Linked DNA regions of Mus musculus. The protein of the gene in region 2 interacts with the protein of the main gene of each other region in a pairwise test. Links are inferred from orthologs where the notes say so. Each region holds a gene or a part of one and is shown on either strand. Other genes may lie near its edges.

Region 1 (3,600 bases), on a different chromosome or scaffold from region 2:
CTCCAGCTTCCTCACCTCTCAGCTCAGACAACACTTTCAAGGCCCCTCCATGATATCTTCCAGTTATAGCAGCGAATGCGCCGCCGTGGCTGTTGCCCTGCACAGCATCCCTGCATCTACCTCTCTGAGTGATGGTTTCTGTGGTCTGTGCCTGTTTCCACTTAAAGCACTTGCTATCTGTAGGAGTTAGGCGCAGGACAGAAGGATGGATACATCCTGGATCTGTGTGCATCTCTCTCTGTGTGTACATGTTTATATGCACAGGTGTATGTATGTGGAGGTCAGAGGACAATCTTACATGCCATTCCTTAAGTGCTACCTTTGTGTGTGTGTGTGTGTGTGTGTGTGTGTGTGTGTGTGTGTGTGTATGGCAGGGTCTCTCATTGTCTTGGAACTCACCAAGTTGGCCAGGCTGGCTGACCAGCAAGTCCCAGGAATCTGCTTGTTTTCCCAATGCTGGGAGTACAAGCACACACAGTCATTCTACAGCTTTGCTTTGTAACCTGGGGACTGAAGTCAGGTTCTCATGTTTCAAGGCAAACACCGTATTAAGAAGTAGATTAGAAGTCTACTTCTAGAAGATTTTAGACATATCCCTTTCAGCGGCTATTCCTGGAGAGAGGTCCCTAACCACTGGTCACTAATGGCTGTGCCTAAGTACTATGGGTAATCCCCAAGTCAATTCAAAAGCGTCAACCATGAGAGAAGTGCTTAATTTGAATTTTGTGTTGTATCGAGAAGCCTGAAGGACCGTCCTGTTGATGAGAAGGGCAATGTAAGCACCACACAGCTTCATGGGCTATGAAGTCTGAATTAAGCTGCATTGATGCCTGTAATTCAAACAGAACTCAAGACAAGAGGCCTGTGGTTAAGACAAAGGTCTTTGCTCTAAAGGCCTTTGCAATCATTTCGAGATTTAAACAAAACCCAAGGGGAGGCTTTTCCTGATGAGATAAGAACCCCGGGGCTGGGCAAATGGTGTGTGCCGATGCTTGAGGTCCTCAGTCAGGAGCGAAGTCTCCCACTTTTATTCCATTGGCTTTATAGAAAGGGGAACCCCACCTACCATGGATGACACAGGAACAGATTGTGATATGACTGTAATAAACTTAAATTGGGGGCAATAGAACATTTTATTATCACAGAGGTGCATTATAAAATGCTTGGTGATAGTGAGGAGATAATTAAATAAGACACTAAAAAATCCAGGTATCAGAACCGTGTATGGTGGCACAGTTCTTTAACCCCAGTGCTGAGGCAGTGGAGGCAGGAGGATGGTGAGGTCCAGACTAGCCTGGGATACACAGATCTTGTATCAAAGAGCAGTTCATCCATCCATCCATCCATCCATCCATCCATCCATCCATCCCCTATCACACAACTATTTATCAATCAGTATACATATCATTAATATCTGTAATCTGTATCCACCCTGAACCCTTTTGTTATTTATACCCATAGTAGGTTAATATATTTGTTATAACATTCATATAATGAAAGATGAAAAATCTCTTTAAATCAACTTGAGTCTTCAAAGTTAGTAAAGACTACTGGCAAACTCACATATAGAAACCATTGGAGGTCTTTGAAAAATAAGATTATCCACAATGAAGACCTTATATTGTAAGCCATAACAAAGATTTGAACTGCAATTTTGGATGATAAAATGATCATATTTTATATATAATTAGTTGAAGTTTTAGAAAAAATGTGAGTTAGACTCATCCTGTTTACAGATACCACATGATAAAATACATTTTTTTTTCAATTATACATTTCAACCTAATCTGCTTCATGTGTTCGAATTCACCTAGCATACATCTCTCAATCCATTAGGCAACTAAACAGTGAGGTAGAAATTACAGGCTTCATGGCTCACCTGATTTTGCAGCTCTTTAATCTGTGCGTAGTAGGAGCTATAGTCTCGGATGGTGCTCGGCGCGTTGGTTTCGTACCACTGCTTGATCTGGGCTTCAAGTCTGGAATTGGATTGCTCCAGGGAGCGCACTTTTTCTAGGTAGTTTGCCAATCTGTCGTTCAGGTTCTGCATTGCCAGTTTCCCATTGCCCCCAAACAGGTCCGATCCGTTGGAGAGATCACCCCCGTAGCTCATTACGGCTTTGGAGACAGAGATGCGAGTGCCATGGCCTCCAGCCCCACCATAGACGCTGGGTGCAGCCCCCAGACGCTGCACAGTCCCCTTCCTATACAGCGAGCCACTCATGCTGAGTGCTGGGCCTTGTGAGGAGGAACTCAGACTTCGGTGAAAACTTTGACGACTGAAATCCATCTGGGATGTAGGGAGGCAACGCCTGTAGCCTGGACTTGGAGCACAGCCTGTCTGTCTCGGGCTGCTGTGGAGATGACCTTTTATAGAGTTCAAGAGACTCCTCCTCTGCTGCCGTGTCACCTCAGGAATGACACAGTCCACCTTCCTGTCTCCCCTTCCCCCTCTTTTGTACGGCAATACGTTTCATTCCATTCCAGAAATTTCTACCAGAGGCACTTTTTAAAGGCTTTCCTGTGGGGGTGGTGGGAGTGGAGGTTTCTTTTTAATAAACAGAGATAACAAAAAGGACGAGGAAGGGGTGTCCTTTCAGGTCTTGCACCTGCCCTGGCAGGTTTTTTTTTTTTCATCCTGTATACAAATAAAGAATATTTACAATCTATATGAATAATTCAGGCATCGAACAAGACAGCTGTGGGAACATAATATAAGTCACACTGGTGAGAAAAGACAATGGCTTGTTCAAATGATTTTCTTTTAAAAAATGTTTTATGCTTCTTTAAATTTTTTTTTTACTTTTAAGTTTATCCTTGTTTAGAATTTATATTTACAGTCTATTGAAATGTCTTGAGTGAAGCTGGGTGTGTGGGTGTGCACCTGAGATTCTAGCACCCGGGAGTCAGAGGTGGGGGGGATCAGGACTAGTTTGAGGCCAGCCTGGTTGAAGTAAGGTGTTCCAGTCTAGCCCAGTGTTGTGTAACAAGACACTGTCTCAAAGTGCAGCTCCCCCCACCCCCGTTTAAGAATTGAATACGGTCAGTAGGTGAATATGTAAATGATTATCGGTGGGCGGTGGGTCAGTTGATTTTGGAGTTTTTTAAAAAAAGATATTTTAAATAGCATTTTTGGATAATTTCATCCATGCACATGTAGCGTATCTTGATAAACTCCTCTCCCACTCGCCTCTCCAGCTGCCTCCGAAGCGCCTAACACAACCCCACCCAAACTTCATACCTCTTTTTATCTTTTTCTTTTTAAAAATAACCAACTGGATCTAATTAGTGCTGCCTGTATGCTTGTGGGTGTGCGGCCTTGGACTGGGTGTGTGAGCAGCCTGTCAGAGGTCATAGATCCTCTGCCTGGCTCCCAGCAGCCTGCAACTGCCAGGAACATCTAGGTTAGCAAGGGGACCTTATTTAAAAAAAAAAACAAAAACAAAAACAAACTTGTTATAAGAATCTTGCAAATATTTTTAAATCTAGTGCTTCTTAAAAAAGAAACAGCAACATTAAATTACTGCGAAACTCCTGCTTTTAATAACTGGCATATTGCATATATTGCATACTGCTTCCTCTGTCTGAGGCCAGCTAGAC
Region 2 (10,948 bases):
CCTGCCATGCTGGCCTTCTTAGAGCCCAGTAGTCACTCCCATTTTGGACTGTTATATACTGTGGAAACTTGAATCAGCAGCATGAATTAATGTGTTAGGCTTACAAAACTCTCGAGAGCCTGGAGAGATGGCTCAGCTGTTAAAAGCACTGACTACTCTTTCAGTGGAAGGTTCCCATGTGGAGGCTCACAGTCTGCTCTAACTCTAGTTCCAGAAGACCTGATGCCCTCTTCTGGCCCCTGCAGGCATCAGGCATGCATATGGAAAACTCATAAAAAAATAAAAACAGAAACACGCCGGTCGCGGTGGTGCATGCCTTTAATCCCAGCACTTGGGAGGCAGAAGCAGGCGAATTCTGAGTTCAAGGCCAGCCTGGTCTACAGAGTGAGTGCCAGGGCTGCAGAGAAACCGTCTCAAAAAACCAAAAAAAAAAAAAAAAAAAAAAAAAAAAAAACCAAAAAAAAACAAAGAAAACAAAAAACAAAACAAAAAAAACAAAAAACCAGAAATGGGTATTTGTGTGTCCTTTCTGGGTTTTGTCTGAGTTCTGGGAATCACTGAGGTTGGACTGGCCTGGTTAGGTGGCAAATACATTCACCCCTCCCCCCACCCCTCCCCCCACTTTTAGGGTCTCTGTAGCCCAGGATGGTCTCAGCCTCATGATCCTGCTGCTTTGAGCAATAGTGAGACCCTATAGCACTCGCTTTTGTGTGCTGGCTCTATGCAGAGAAGAGCAGATAGGTGAGGCCTGAGGGCACCTTTAATTTATAGAGACCAAGTACAGTAGCAGGGTTGGCCTATGCACTGAGAGCCATCAGAAGGTGGTGTCCAGTACCACAGGCAGATCCTGTGGAGGCAGCCATAGGACACCAACATGGGCTTGTGCCTGACAGAAGCTGCAGGGAGAGGCACACACAGTGGAGGTGTGGCCAGACAGCCATTAGGTGTCTATGTCCCCACTGTGGTAAGGATCTGTAGTGAAGCAGGGTATCTGGAAGACCCAGAATGTAGGACATGGGGACAGTCATCTCACGAAATACCTTTGGTCAGCATGGGTTCCTTGTGTCCCTTACAGACGTCCAGCGTGCTTACACTTACTAATATAGCTGTGCCACAGAAGAGCTGGGCTTTGCACTCTGCTCCTTAGCACCCATTCTGCTGGTTCCACAGGAAGGCAAGCGCAGTGTCCAGGGCCAGCCCACTGTCTTCTACATGCCACACTGTGGGACAGCTCTATACAACAACCTGCTGTGGAGCAACTGGTCTGCAGACGCCCTGTCCAGGGTGCTCATCATCGGGAACAGCTTCCGAGGCCTTGAGGAAAGGTGAGCCAGCAGGAATGCCAGGCCTAGCTTCCCTGTGAGGACCTGTGTAAATGGTTTAGGGGTCTAGCTTAAAGCACCTAAGGAGTCTTCCAAGGGCAGAAGTGTTTGGGCAGCCATGCTTTAAGTGCAGACACTCCTGATCTGCTTCACAGCATGCCTGTGCTGCCCTCTTGCATATCCCTCAACCTTTCTGAACTAGTTTTTACCTGTTGAAAAAGAAAGCAAACACCCATATACTTCCTAATTGTGTATGTATGTTTTTATTTGTAGGTTGTTGGCGAGGATTCTGCAGGAAAATTACCCCTACATTGCAAAGGTGTCTGACAGAATAGCTGGGCCGGGGTGAGGGTGCAAAGCCACACTGTCCATGTTTCTAAGCACAACCAGCTGGTGCCTCTCCTACTGTGTGCCAGTGGCCTTCATCCTTAGGGCGAGCCCAGCAGTCTCACTGGCATGGGACTGAAAAGTGCTGAAATACAACCCCCCCATCCCTTATTTCTCAGAAGGACGGTGGGGTGGCCAGGTGAAGATAGAGAGGGGTGTACCTAATGCCCGTATCTGGTCCTCTCTGCTCAGATTCTGAAAGGCCTGGAGGAGGTCCCACTGCCGCAGACTCCCCAGTACACTGACACCTTTAATGATACATCTGTCCACTGGTTCCCACTATTGAAGCTGGAAGGACTGCCTGGGGACCTGTGGGCATCCCAGGAAGAGCCTGACTACCAGGACTGTGAGGACCTGGAGATCATCAGGAAAGCTACAGATCGCTCAGCTGGAGTAACAGGACAGTTCTCTCCACCTGGGCCAGGAGCCACGGTGCACACCACACCAGATCCTTTGCCCGGCCAGGAATACAGGCCGACTGGGGACACTGAGTCACATCCTGCCCTGGTGGCCTGGTCTCCCAAATAGAGACGTTATTCATCAGCTTGGTTTACAGTGCTGTTTATTCACACCGGTCTGGTGTGGCCGATGTCTACTTGGCCATGTCGATGAGGCTCTGCAGGGAGGTGGGCACCCACGTCTTCTCGCCCTGCACAAACACCACACCCCGGTCAATGTAGATGACGATGCGGCCGAAGGTGTAGAGCTGCTTGCCCTCGTGCCGCTTGCCGATGACAGGCATGAACACAATGTTGTGCTCCTCTGCCTTAGTCTCGATGAGGTCCTTAAAGTTCATGGGCACGGAGCTGGCGGCCACACCGATGCCTCTCTGTGCCATGTTCTCAGCCTCCCGGCGCTCCTGCATGGCCTCGTACTGGAAGTCCTTCCTGCGCTCTGTGTGGGTGAGGTAGGCAATGTTCTCTCTCGCACCCGGCTGCATGTAGGCACCTGAGAGAAGGGAGGACAGAGATGAGATGTGACCCCGGGTATGCAGAACCCCAGGATGACATGCTGTGTGTGACCTGCTGCTGAAGGGCCCAGGTACCACTAACATGATCAGTGCATGCTTGGGGAGAGTCACTACCACAAAACTGGTCTGGGAGCTGAGTAGCTAATATCAGGTATCAGAAGTGATTCTCTCACTACTAAGAGATGTGGACAAGGGCTGAGCCCACACATGTGGCCCCCTAAAGTCACCATTTATGAGGTCACCTTGTAGTCTAGCATGGCCTACATTCATTCTACTATCCCTTGCTTCAGAGGCCCCTCTGTAGAACAGAAAATGGGGCTCATTGGTTAGGAATATGTATGTTTTCAGAGAATCCAGTTTGATTCCCAGCTCCCCCTTCACATGGCCCATAACTCTCTAACTCCAGGCCCATGATACCCTCTTATGGCTGTCCACCAGGCACATACATAAACATATAATTTAAACTTTACATGGAAAATGCATTTGGGGAGCTAGAGTATGGTGATTAGTGGATCACAGGGTGACCCAAATGCAAACTACTGTGGTGGTTTGAATATGCTTGGCCCAGAAGTGTGTCACTGTGGGTGTGGGCTGCCTGAGAGTCAGTCTTCTGTTTGCCTTCATAACAAGATGCAGAACTCTCAGCTCCTCCCTTGCCATACCTGCTTGGATGCTGCCATGCTCCCACCTTGATAAAGGACTGAACCTGCAAACCTTTACAAGAGTTGCCTTGGTCCTGGTGTCAGTCACAGCAATGACAGCCTAACTTAGATATCTACTCACCAACATTGGAGGACACAGCCCTGTTCATTATGTCGAGCGCTTCGTTGAACTTGTCCTTGACAGAAGGGTGGGCCAGCACCTGGTCTGAGAACATAGACTTCCAGCCCAGGTACCACTTGGTGATCTCCTCGTAATTGGGACTGTTACTGAGCCAGGAGCACAGCACCTGCCAAAGGACACAGGACTCTGAGCTGATGATGTACACACTGGACCACGGCAGGGAGGGCAGAGTTCCCGGGGCTACTGTTGTGTTCAGTGTTGCTCCTCCCAGCATCCCACACTACAGGGCACATGAAGCTGCGGCTTCTAGCAGTTACCAGGAGAATCTGGAGCCAGCCTGTGGCCTAAATGTGCTAAAGCCTTGATCTCCACATCCCCAACAGGTTCTCTGAGGAGCTGAGCTGAGGCAATTCTGTGACTGGACAGCAGAGGGCACTGGGGACCCTCCTGGACCACACTGCTCACCTGGAGCCACTTGGGGAAGAAATGCTTCTCCAGCAGCCCCACCAGGCTGGAGACGGAGATCATCCCCTCCCAGTCCATCACCCAGTAGAAGGCGTCCATGTGCTGCTGGTGGGGGTTGATGACAAGCTCTCCCAGGCACATGCCTGCAAGAGAGACAGCAAGGCACACTCTTCAGTCTCCACCCACAGTGAATCCCATGAGTCACAAGCACTTAAGAGGCCAGGGCTGGACAGATGGCTCAGTGGTTAACAGCACTGACTGCTCTTCCAGAGGTCCTGAGTTCAATTCCCAGCAACCACACGGTGGCTCACAACCATCTGCAGTGGGATCTGATGCCCTCTTCTGGTGTGTCTGAAGACAGCAACAGTGTTCTCACATACATTAAATAATTCCTTAAAAAATAGGGGGCCAGAGGCTTTCTGGTTCTGACATTCAAACCAGCCCTGTCAGACAAAGCACAGAGAGTCCAGAGTCATGACTGCAGACCCTGGTCAAGCTATGAAGGAACAGCAGGAAGGGCCTGCTTCCAGTCCCGTCCACCTCTGCCCTAAGGAGTATACCTCATAGTGGACACTGAGGCTGCACTCGGCCCGCAAGTCCCCATGTCCTTACCCAGCTTGGGCACGATGTTCCTGAGCATGAAGGCCTCCCAGGACCCAGGGGTGAGGACCTCTTTCCAGGGCTGCAGGATGAGCTTGGCTGAGGCGTCGCTGGGGTGCCATTTCTGCAGTGCGCTGGACAACTTGCTGCGCACAGGGGAGTAGAGTGGCTCCAGGCGGGCCTGCATGAGCGGCAGCCACGGGTGGATCCACGAGTGGATGGGAACGGTGTCTGTCAGGGGGTTCCAGTTGTCCACCTGCAGGATGAGTGGGATGACCATGATACAGCAGTGCTGTCCTTAGGGAGAGGCCTTTGTATCCTGACCAAGGGTCACAGTCCTCAGTGTGTGTGTGTGGAGGGGGAACCCCACTGAGGAGGTAAATAGGTATTCTGTACTCTAGGTCCCTCCACAGAAGGAAATTAAACACTCATGCCACCAACTCAAGCCTCAGCACAGCTCAAGGTTCAATAAAGGCCTTGAGAAAGGCCATGCCCACCCGAGAGAGGTAGGAAGGGGGTACTATGGAGAAGGCTAGAACTACTACTGCAGGCCACCCAGCCATGCTGGCAGTCCTTCAACCTCTGGGCTCTTGTGCACAGATAAGAGACACTGTCAAAGCAATGCCATACCTCCTTCTGCAGCTTAGGGAAGATGAGCTGGTCCAGGATATTGTCCAGGATCCACACGGGGATGATGTGTGCCCAGCTGTCCAGGAAATCCACCATCGGCTCACAGTTCCGTGGCTGCCACTGGGCGACGACATTCCGAACGAAAGGCATCCAGACCTCCCACATGAGCCTGTTAGAGGCATGGCAGCCTCTGGTCAGCCACACTGCTGCCTTCACGGTGCTCAAAGTGTGCCAGCCCACACACCCCCACAGGAAACCTCAGGCCAGTGCCCACAGAGGCTGCCATGATGTCTTGGCTCTCGGCCTTGGGCACCTCAGTGGACCCAGCACTGGCAGGACTGCTACAGGCCCACGTGCTGACAGTGACAGCACAGGGCAGCAGCTGCTCTCCCACCAGGAGCCTCAGTTCACAGTTCTCACACCCGAGGTCACAGCTGGAATGTCCTCTCTACATCTGGGTCATTCTTAGTTCTCACTAGTTCTTGGCACTGCCTTTTCCAGACTGGGTGAAAGCTGCTCATGGTCAGGGTCAGCCCAGCTCCTGGACACTCGGGACACTCGTGCACACATGGGTGAGCCCAGTTCCTGGATGCTCGGGACACTCGTGCACACATGGGTGAGCCCAGTTCCTGGATGCTCAGGACACTCGTGCACACACGGGTGAGCACATCTCCACACCCAGAGCAGATCCGGGGTGGAGCTGAGTCAACAGGGCCAGAATGGCTTACCCCCCAGCCTTTAGCACAACTCCTGCTCCTTGGGGGCTGAGGGGATGAGGGAATACAGTGGGGTAGGGCCTGGCACCTGTGGAAGGCATCGGAGGACAGGTCCTGGCTGCTGTGAGACAGCAGCTGGTCGTTCTCCAGGAGGCTCTTCCACTTGGAGATGATCTGGGTGCCATAGCTGCCGTCCTGCAGAACACCAGCATCATCAATCAGCCTGCCCACCTCAGTAGCCATGCCCCAGCCCAAAAGCAGGCTGCACCCTAGCTCACCTCGAGGGGGTGCCAATCCTTAAAGTAGTCCTTCACGAGCGGGTAGACAATGGCCACAGCGAGGTCTGCGCGGTCCGCCAGGCGGTACTCCTCATAATACTTGTCCTGTAGTGTCTCAAAGATGCGGGCACACTCATCCAGAGTGAGGGGGTCGGCGCCATGGGGCTGCATGCGGCGCTCACATTCCTCCACCAGGGCCAGCACCTTGCTGAGGTTAGAGATGACACGCTCCTCATGTGCAAGAACCTCGGCCGTCTTCTCCAGCTCGTGTGACAGGCTGACCACCATGTCCCGCTCATACTGGAGCTGCCGGTCGCTCTGGATGATCTCCTGCTCCGTGCGCTCAATGAGCAGCTGCAGGTTGTGCTCCAGCTCAGGCAGTGCAAAGCCCGGCATCCTGGCTTCCTTGCCGGCTGTGGGGGGCAGCTGCGCCAGCAATGGCACCCCTTCATCGGGCACGCTGTGCTTGTGGCTGATTTGGCTGTAGCTGTAGTACACCTTCTGCTCCCGGCCTGTCATGTCGATCACCTTGGAGAGAGTCAGGTTACCACCTGTTAGCACCACTGAGCAGGGGAGATGTGACAGAGCTCTGTGGATGGACAGAGCTGCCTACCACAGGCTTGAGCTGTCAGACCCACACCATCTTACACTAACCGGTCGGTGACACGCAGCTGCCACCACTGCTGTCTAGCTACTCGGAAAGTGATAACAACACCATGAGTCCATCACAGAGAGGGTGGCCTTCCCCAAGATCCTAGCTACCCCACTTCATGCACAGCTATGACATGCCTTACACCCGTGGGCCAGTCAGAACTGTACATCAGAAGTCCTTAAAGGAGAGAGAGGTCTTGCTCCTGGCCCATCGGCAGGCCTTCCCTTCCTGCTTACGGCACTCCCAGAAACCCTCTCCTTGATCTCAACAGAGAAAAATTTACCTACAAGTGAATCTATGCCAAACTCACCGCAAAGCAAAGGAAGCTTCAGGCTGCGCAGAGGCTCGGGGTTGGGAGCTATACTTACCACAGTCAGCACGGGGAGGTGTCAGGCGTAAAAACCAGGGCCTGGCATGTGCCGTGCTCAGCACTCACTCAGAGTACTTACCTTAGAAGTGTTACTGAGTTCACTGGACATAAAGCACATCCACACCCGGTCACACAGACATACAGACACACCCACATACACTCACATAGACACATACAGATACACACCCACACATGCTTACACAGACACATACACAGAAACACCCACACATGCTCACACATACACACACCCACACCCACACACGCTCACAGACACATACGGACATACATGCTCATACAGACACACATAGAAACACACCCACACCTGCTCGCATACACAGACACACACACACATAGTCACCCCCCCCCATACACACACCCCAATAACCTACTTATCAGACAAAGCCCTCAGAGGATGGACAGGGGGACGGACAGATGTGAGGCCCTCATACCTTGACCTGAGACAGTTCCTTCTGAGGTGCTGTGAGCTTCTTGCTGACCCTGCCCTTGGCCTTCAGCTCCTCCACAGTCTTGTAAGAGTACTTTGGCTTCTTCTTGCTCCCGCTGGGGTCTTTCCTCCATTGGCTCAGCTCCTTCTGAAACTCCTGAGGCAGAGGGATGCAGTCAATGACAACAGGAGGGGCCTGATGCACAGCAGCCAAGGCCAAGGCCTTTAGCATGCCTGCAGCCACCAAATACCACTCGCCTACATCCGTGTATAGTAGCTGGATGCCAAAGGCAGGCCCAAGAGAAGGGAGAGGCTCTCACAGAACTTAGATATAGCATAGAAAATTAGAAAACACTGGCCCCACTCAGCAGAGCTCCACAAGAATGGTGAGCAGAGGGTAGCATGTAAGGACACGCCCGTCCGCCCTACAGGTCAAGTCCGACCTGGCTGCCATTTTATTCTCACACTGACTTAACCAGTCATTTCTTTTCTTTCAAGTATGTGGAGTTGCAGCTGTTCAGGAATCATGGCGCGTGCTCTCCCGGGCCATCTCTGAGCTGAGAGAGCCTACCCTGCAGTCACAGCACATGTACCTGAGTGTCTCAGTCCTCACCCTGTCTTACTGTCCCACAGCTGCCCACCTCACAGCCCTAGGTCCAAGACACCGTGATGGCATCAGGTGAGAGGTGAGTTCCAGCAGGGCCTGCCGCATAAGTGGGTGTGAGGACACGCAGAGGCCACACAGCACGTAGCAGCTGTGTGAAATGGTCCAGGCCCTGCGCTGCCCACACAGAGGTCATCTTTACCTCTTCTGCCTCCTCTTCCGAGTCGGCCACGGGGAAGTCCTGCAGAGACTGAGTGGTCCTCTCCGAGCCATAGGCCCCCACGGCTCCCTTGCCTTTTCTCTGTTTGGCTTCGATGGGGTTGATGATCCCTGAGTGAGGGCAGGAGAAAGACAAGAGACTTTTCAGATCCTGGCCACCAGTGTGAGGACACCAGGAAAAGAGCACTTCCTGCTTCATACCAACAGGAGTGCCTTCCCTGTGCTCGGGACACAGCCACACTCCCTGGGACTCAACAACTGAGACCACCTCTGAGGATTCTGCCCTCCTGTGCTGACCAACATAGGCATCAGAAGCCTGTGTGGCAAGCACAGTAACTCAGGAGGCTGAGCGGCTGAAGGACAGCTGTGGGCTGGGAAGGGGCTCACACTGCTCACAGCTAACTTATATAATATGGCTAAGCCCTGGCAATCAACAGGAACAGCATTACTCCCCCGTCCAGGATTTCCTTCCACCTTCTCACTCAGCACTGTTGAAACCCCAGGGATGCTCTGCCACGCTCTGCCCAGCATCTCAGGGATGCTCTGCCACGTTCTTCCCAGAAAAATCCTCAGCACTACCTGAGCCGCATGTGGGTGGCCTGGGATGTGAATTACAGAGGACACTTCTGATTGGACCCGTCAGGCTCAAAGAGGCTAAGTGCTTGCTCCTTGTGGCTCTGAGCCAAGGTGGTGAGCTGTGTGTGCAAGGGCTGTTTCTCAGTGAGGCTGGTTGGGGGAGCAACGTGGGTTTGGGTCAGCCAGCAGCACAGGCATGTCTTCAGTCGGTGAAGGCCGCTGTGCACTGGCCTGCCTGATGCTGAGTTGCAGACTAAGAAGAAGCAGGGACTACGCAGCTGGCCTAACAGCCCAGGCAGGCTCACACACTGACCACAGCAGGGCAGGTGGCAGGTCCAGGAGGCTGAGGACACTGTGTTTAGAAGAACACACTCTGCCAAAAGGCATCTGTGAAGCAGCCAAACTAAATCTAGAGTTCTGGGTGAGACTGTCTGATTCAAAAATATTAGCAGTTACTTCTCTAGAGACACAGGCCAGGTTAAAGCAGCTCTGCGTCTGCAGCCACTTTAGACCCTAGCAGTTTCCGTCTCACTTAACCAAGTAGTTACTGAATCTGGGTTCTGAGAAAGCCAAGCAGCTGGAGCACAAGTGGCCCATGCAGCCACACCCAGCTGCAGAGTAACAGCTGCTTTGGTTGGGTTTTGAGCTTATGAATCCTTCCCAGGACCTGTCACCCATACTTGCCGAGCTTCCTCCCGGAGCCTCCCCTCCACCACACTCACCCTGTGCGTTCTTCCCCAGGCCACGCCCAGGGACGTAGCCCATCTTCTGCAGCAGCTTCTGCCCGATCCCTTTCGTGTGTCTCTCCCAGCTGCCAAAGTCCATGAAGGACTTGGTTCCTCCTGAAAAGCCTTTCTGGCTGGGCTTAAAATTGCCACCCTGCAAAGAAGGCGAGATGAGTTTGGGTGAGAGAGAAAAATGGAGCAACCCAGGGAGCTCAAGCCTACAGCTACACTGTATCATGAAAGGCAGCATCTGGACCACAGCCATCAGTGACTCGGAGGAGGGAAGGAACTGCAGATGCTCACCAGCTTCTCCCTGTGGAAGAAGCCACTGCACTGTGACCTCCATGGGGTGCCACCAGGAGACTGTCCTGTGAGGCCTACCGTCTTTAACTTCTTTGGTCCTAAATCCTTCGGGAAGTCCTCCTGCTTAACAGGCTTCTCTTCAGCATCAGAGTCCTCGGAGTCCGCTTCCTCAGCCGCCCCTTTCTTGAGCCCCGCACTGATGAAGTTGACAGGTGCAGAATAGTCTCGGGCCCTACAGACACACACAGAGCCTCCAAGTCCATAAAGAACGCTTCTGCAACACCCTGTCCTGGAAGCTGCTCGAAAGAGAATTCCTTAGAGAGAGAGGCCCTCAATAATCTTACATTTAACATTTAAAAAATATTATATGGGGGGGGGGCCTAACCACATGACACTGTGGGTGCCCGATGAGCCAAAGGCTCGATTCCCTGAAGATGGAATTAGAGGCACTTGTGAGCTGCCTGAGGTGGGCACTGGCTGGGAGCCACACTCAGGTCTGCAATAGCAATTGAGTTCAATCTCAATTGCTCCTGGGTCCTCTTCCAGCCCACATTTTACACTCGTGGGGTCTGTTCGATTCAAACTATAACTGAAGATTTGCCACTGTCAGTAGGGTTGAGTATAAATTCAGACTAGGATGTAATAATCTTACTTCCTTTGGACGCTTTCAAAAATGCCATTATTGCTCTGTGCAGACAATTTGTAGAGCATCTCGTCCCTTTCCCCTTCCCTGTAGGAATCTGGTGACTGAACCCAGCTAGCCAGGTGTGCATGGCAACAACCTCCGAGGCATCAAACTGGGCCCCCTTTTACAACTGAAAAGACTGTGTTAGCTTAGTGTCTGCTTTGCTTTAGAGTGGTACAGCACTTATCTAGCATGCCTGTAAACACACACACACACAC
Region 3 (3,508 bases), on a different chromosome or scaffold from region 2:
CTGAACTTGCCCTTGCGTACAGGCCATGCTGTGGCTGGAGCCTTGTTGCTCTTGCTTCGGTTCTTTCTCTTGACTTTCCCACTTGTCCTGTTCCTAGCCCTAGAACCAGTCCTTCCCGGGTGGCAGCCTCCACCCCTGCCTCCTGGGCAAGGCAAACTTGATGTCAGGGTCCTATTCCTAGAGATGTTAGGAAGCCTTATGCCTCTGCCTGCCTTTGCACGTGCCTGTTCCTTTAGAGTCTTGAAAAGGGCCTTGGCCTTAGCCTCTAGTCCACCCCCACTCTGGGATTCTGGGTGCACTTCTTTCTTTACACCTGGACCATTCTCAGGTCCCACATTCACCTCAACCTTGGACTTTGAGTCATCTTGAGGTTTGCCTCTCGCCCCTACCCCAACATTAGTCTTAAGTTCTTTCTCAGTTTTGTCACTACAAGACTTTTCCTCCTCTTCCTCCTCTTCCTCCTCTTCCTCATCCCACAACTTCTCATTCTCATCTTTTCCCCAGGTCAGTCTGTATACACAGTAGCAGGCACCAGCCCCAATGACCATGCCTGCAGCCACACATCCAGCTTCCCGGGTGCGACCCATCGTACAGCTGGGGTGAATCTCTTAAGCTGGACACAGAGCTGACTTGTTCTCAGGTCAGAGGTAAAGTCTTCAGATTCTGCAGGTTAGGAGCAGCTACAACAGCAGATACAGTGATACCTAGAAGAAAAAAACGGAAGATTACAAAATTTTGACTTCTCCAATTGTGCTTTTGTTCATAAATAGACTTAATCACTTGCCTACAAATATACAAAGATATTAGCTAACATTTGGGGCTTGGTCTCCTCATCATTATTCCTGTCCTTTATCTGGAAGCAATTTTGGATGTTTTCCAAACAGCCAGATTCTCTAAATTTATGTTCTTCCACCCATCCCAAGAATGTCCATTGAATATATTTATATTATGTTCAATTTATTATACACACACACACACACACACACACACACACACACACAATGATCTTTACCCTTGCAGCAGATGTCTTGAGTCAGGGTCACAGAGACACCCTCACATATACCCTCAGAGATCCAAGAAGTTTCTTCCTCCTTTCCAGCCTCTTGCAGATCTACAAACAAAAGGATACAGAGGTCTGAGCTGAGAACTCAAGAACCAGATAAATCACCCTCAAGGCAGGACATATATCCATCTCAATTCCCAGGCACTTGTCCTTCACTACAGTGTTTCTTACCTTCTATATACCTTCCTCCTTGGATGATCAGTCCCCTCTCTCATCTTGTCTTCCTGCCCCCCACTACCCTGTCTGTCACTTCATCCAAAGGTGACACTACACACCCTTCCTTGTAAAGAAATAGACATCAGTACCTAGAAATCAGACTTTTAAGTGCATCTTCACTGACTTCTGCCCACCGGACTACCTTAAAGACAGCCTCAACGATCTATTGAATAATTACATCAATTTCCACTGCTCTGAGAAATTTCTTTCCTCCCTCCCACCTCCTTGTCTAAGCCCCTGACTTCTCCATACCTAAAGACAACAAATCGGGTTCCTATTAGACTAAAAGCAACAAAGACTGCACCATACAGTATTTCAAAATAATGTCCTCCCCACCGCCAACACAGTACCAGGAGAAGGGGTGCAGAGAAAGTCTGTGAGTCTGTCCACTCGAGTTCATAGTCACCATTATCGTCTACCCCAGCGACCTCCAAACAGTGTCATCACACTTCTTCCTTGGACCTACTTGATTCTGGGAAGTTTTCCTCCCTTCCCTGCTTCTTGGTTTAGTCTGGAGCGAGAGCCACAGATACAGGCACCTAAGCAGAGACAGAACACAAAATATATACCACCTAAATACTAGCTTTCCCAAATCCGGGGACCTGATTGGTCAGATGGATTTCATGGTTTTGTTTCTCACCCTGCCCCCAGTTCTCTGGACTCAGCTGACAACGCCCCGATGCTATACAGCTACATCCCGACACTCCTTCTTGCGGTGGTCGGCCATTTTTTCCTGCAAAAACCACACCCCTTTGGAAGCGCAGCACTGGGGGCGGGCCCAGCGAGTACGGGGAAAACTCGAGCTACGGAAGAAGACCACATATCTCTTCCGTCCTCCCCAACCCAGCCCAACCCCCGATGATAGCCCCCCCCCCTTTTTTTTTCCTGTACAACTCTGAGAACAGTCCTTTTTCCTGGGGGTGGGAGCAGGGAACGACGCACACGTCGACTGCCAAAGTCAATAATGGCCCCGAGTTATAATAAATCCCCCAGCTACCACTTATATGCAGGTCGCAGACAGTCTCAGCTTTAAATTGACATGCAGAAATTCGATGTTGATTATTTCTTTGTTCCAAAAGGTGCTGCACCCTAATGAATGACAGAGGATATCTCACTACCTCAAAATTCTGTCTTCATAGGATCCATGCACCAACCCATAATACTTGTCCCTCCGGATTCTAGGCCCTTACATGCCAAAGGCTCCCCGCCCCAAACCCTCATCCGGGGTCTCTCCTGGAATCTCTCCCTCCAAGATTCACCGCCTCCCACCCCCAAGAGGATCGGAAGGCATTGCAAGTGCATGAAGAGAGCAGACTGTGTCGCCCGTATCTTGGCTAACAGCTACCCAGAGTAAAGCGATCCCCCAAGCATCATCCATGCATAGACTTGCTGGCATCCAGGCCGTTACCTTCTCCTCTTCCTTCCGCAGCAGGCCTGCCTGCTCTCAACAATAACAGAGAGAGCAAACACTAAGGTAGACCAGAATTAGGAGGAGGTCTGCACACGTAGGCTTCGGCTCACGTGAGGGGCACGTCACCAGTGAGATCAGGATTCCAACTGCCACTCCCATCAACACTGCAGCAGGAGGCAGCCTTTCCCCTGCCTTCCCCGCCACACCAGGTCCTGCCATTCTTTTTCCTCTTTGTTAATCCCCAAACCGCAAGGAGCTTCTTTTGTGGTTGGAATTTGCCTTTCTATGGTTAACAACAGAGATACCACATTGGTCCTTTCTTCCTCTTTTAGGAACAATTCTGGCGGTTCTTTATTCCCACCCCAGCTGCTTTTCTCTTCTCCCCTTTCCCTTTCAACTGGGAAGAGCCTGCATCTTCCCTGCGCTCTGATACCAAACAGGATTTCAAAAAAGGAAAAAAAAAATCAGCCTTGCTTTTACATTGAGAATATAAAATTATGTTTTTCATTTGTGTGGAGAAAAATTTAAGTGGCAAAGGAAAACCCAGTGGACCTTAGTAATTGCAGTTACACACACACACACACACACACAAATTTCTACTGATTACAGACAAATAATTGCTATCATAACGCACTAACTTGTTTGAAAATAGAAAGTTGGAGTTTTTGCATGTTTTATGAATGAACACTCTAAAAAAGGATGACCAGTTGTCTGATTTGAACCATTTTATTCAAACTGCAAATTTTTTTTTCTACTTTTGGTTTAACTTGCAAATTTGGTAAAATAAAAGCAACACAATTAATCCTAACTTATTTAAT

Evidence for each region. The genes of interacting proteins can lie anywhere in the genome.
Region 1: the proteins of Tfip11 (region 2) and Krt20 interact in binary tests that used the Homo sapiens proteins (3 or more experiments, as listed by UniProt). The two-hybrid records come from large-scale screens. The link is inferred for Mus musculus from reciprocal best matches to the Homo sapiens genes TFIP11 and KRT20.
Region 3: the proteins of Tfip11 (region 2) and Armcx1 interact in binary tests that used the Homo sapiens proteins (3 or more experiments, as listed by UniProt). The two-hybrid records come from large-scale screens. The link is inferred for Mus musculus from reciprocal best matches to the Homo sapiens genes TFIP11 and ARMCX1.

What each region holds. Positions count from the first base shown.
Region 1 is NC_000077.6:99,435,808-99,439,407, forward strand, and holds the start of Krt20 (keratin, type I cytoskeletal 20), read right to left. Parts: upstream 2,347-3,600; 5' UTR 2,291-2,346; coding exon 1,880-2,290; intron 1-1,879. UniProt on the Homo sapiens protein: Plays a significant role in maintaining keratin filament organization in intestinal epithelia. When phosphorylated, plays a role in the secretion of mucin in the small intestine.
Region 2 is NC_000071.6:112,328,695-112,339,642, reverse strand, and holds the end of Tfip11 (tuftelin-interacting protein 11), read right to left. Parts: intron 10,278-10,948; coding exon 10,124-10,277; intron 9,897-10,123; coding exon 9,740-9,896; intron 8,553-9,739; coding exon 8,425-8,552; intron 7,776-8,424; coding exon 7,623-7,775; intron 6,680-7,622; coding exon 6,152-6,679; intron 6,069-6,151; coding exon 5,962-6,068; intron 5,327-5,961; coding exon 5,158-5,326; intron 4,784-5,157; coding exon 4,540-4,783; intron 4,071-4,539; coding exon 3,928-4,070; intron 3,629-3,927; coding exon 3,463-3,628; intron 2,658-3,462; coding exon 2,302-2,657; 3' UTR 2,238-2,301; coding exon of another isoform or gene 1,902-2,237; 3' UTR 1,668-1,901; coding exon of another isoform or gene 1,596-1,667; 3' UTR 1,570-1,595; downstream 1-1,569. Other genes in the region: Srrd (SRR1-like protein), read left to right, coding at 1,171-1,325, 1,596-1,641, 1,902-2,237. UniProt on the Homo sapiens protein: Involved in pre-mRNA splicing, specifically in spliceosome disassembly during late-stage splicing events. Intron turnover seems to proceed through reactions in two lariat-intron associated complexes termed Intron Large (IL) and Intron Small (IS).
Region 3 is NC_000086.7:134,717,230-134,720,737, reverse strand, and holds the start of Armcx1 (armadillo repeat-containing X-linked protein 1), read right to left. Parts: upstream 2,801-3,508; 5' UTR 2,688-2,800; intron 2,369-2,687; 5' UTR 2,277-2,368; intron 2,013-2,276; 5' UTR 1,920-2,012; intron 1,819-1,919; 5' UTR 1,630-1,818; exon of another isoform or gene 1,235-1,629; intron 1,112-1,234; 5' UTR 1,013-1,111; intron 705-1,012; 5' UTR 588-704; coding exon 1-587. UniProt on the Homo sapiens protein: Regulates mitochondrial transport during axon regeneration. Increases the proportion of motile mitochondria by recruiting stationary mitochondria into the motile pool. Enhances mitochondria movement and neurite growth in both adult axons and embryonic neurons.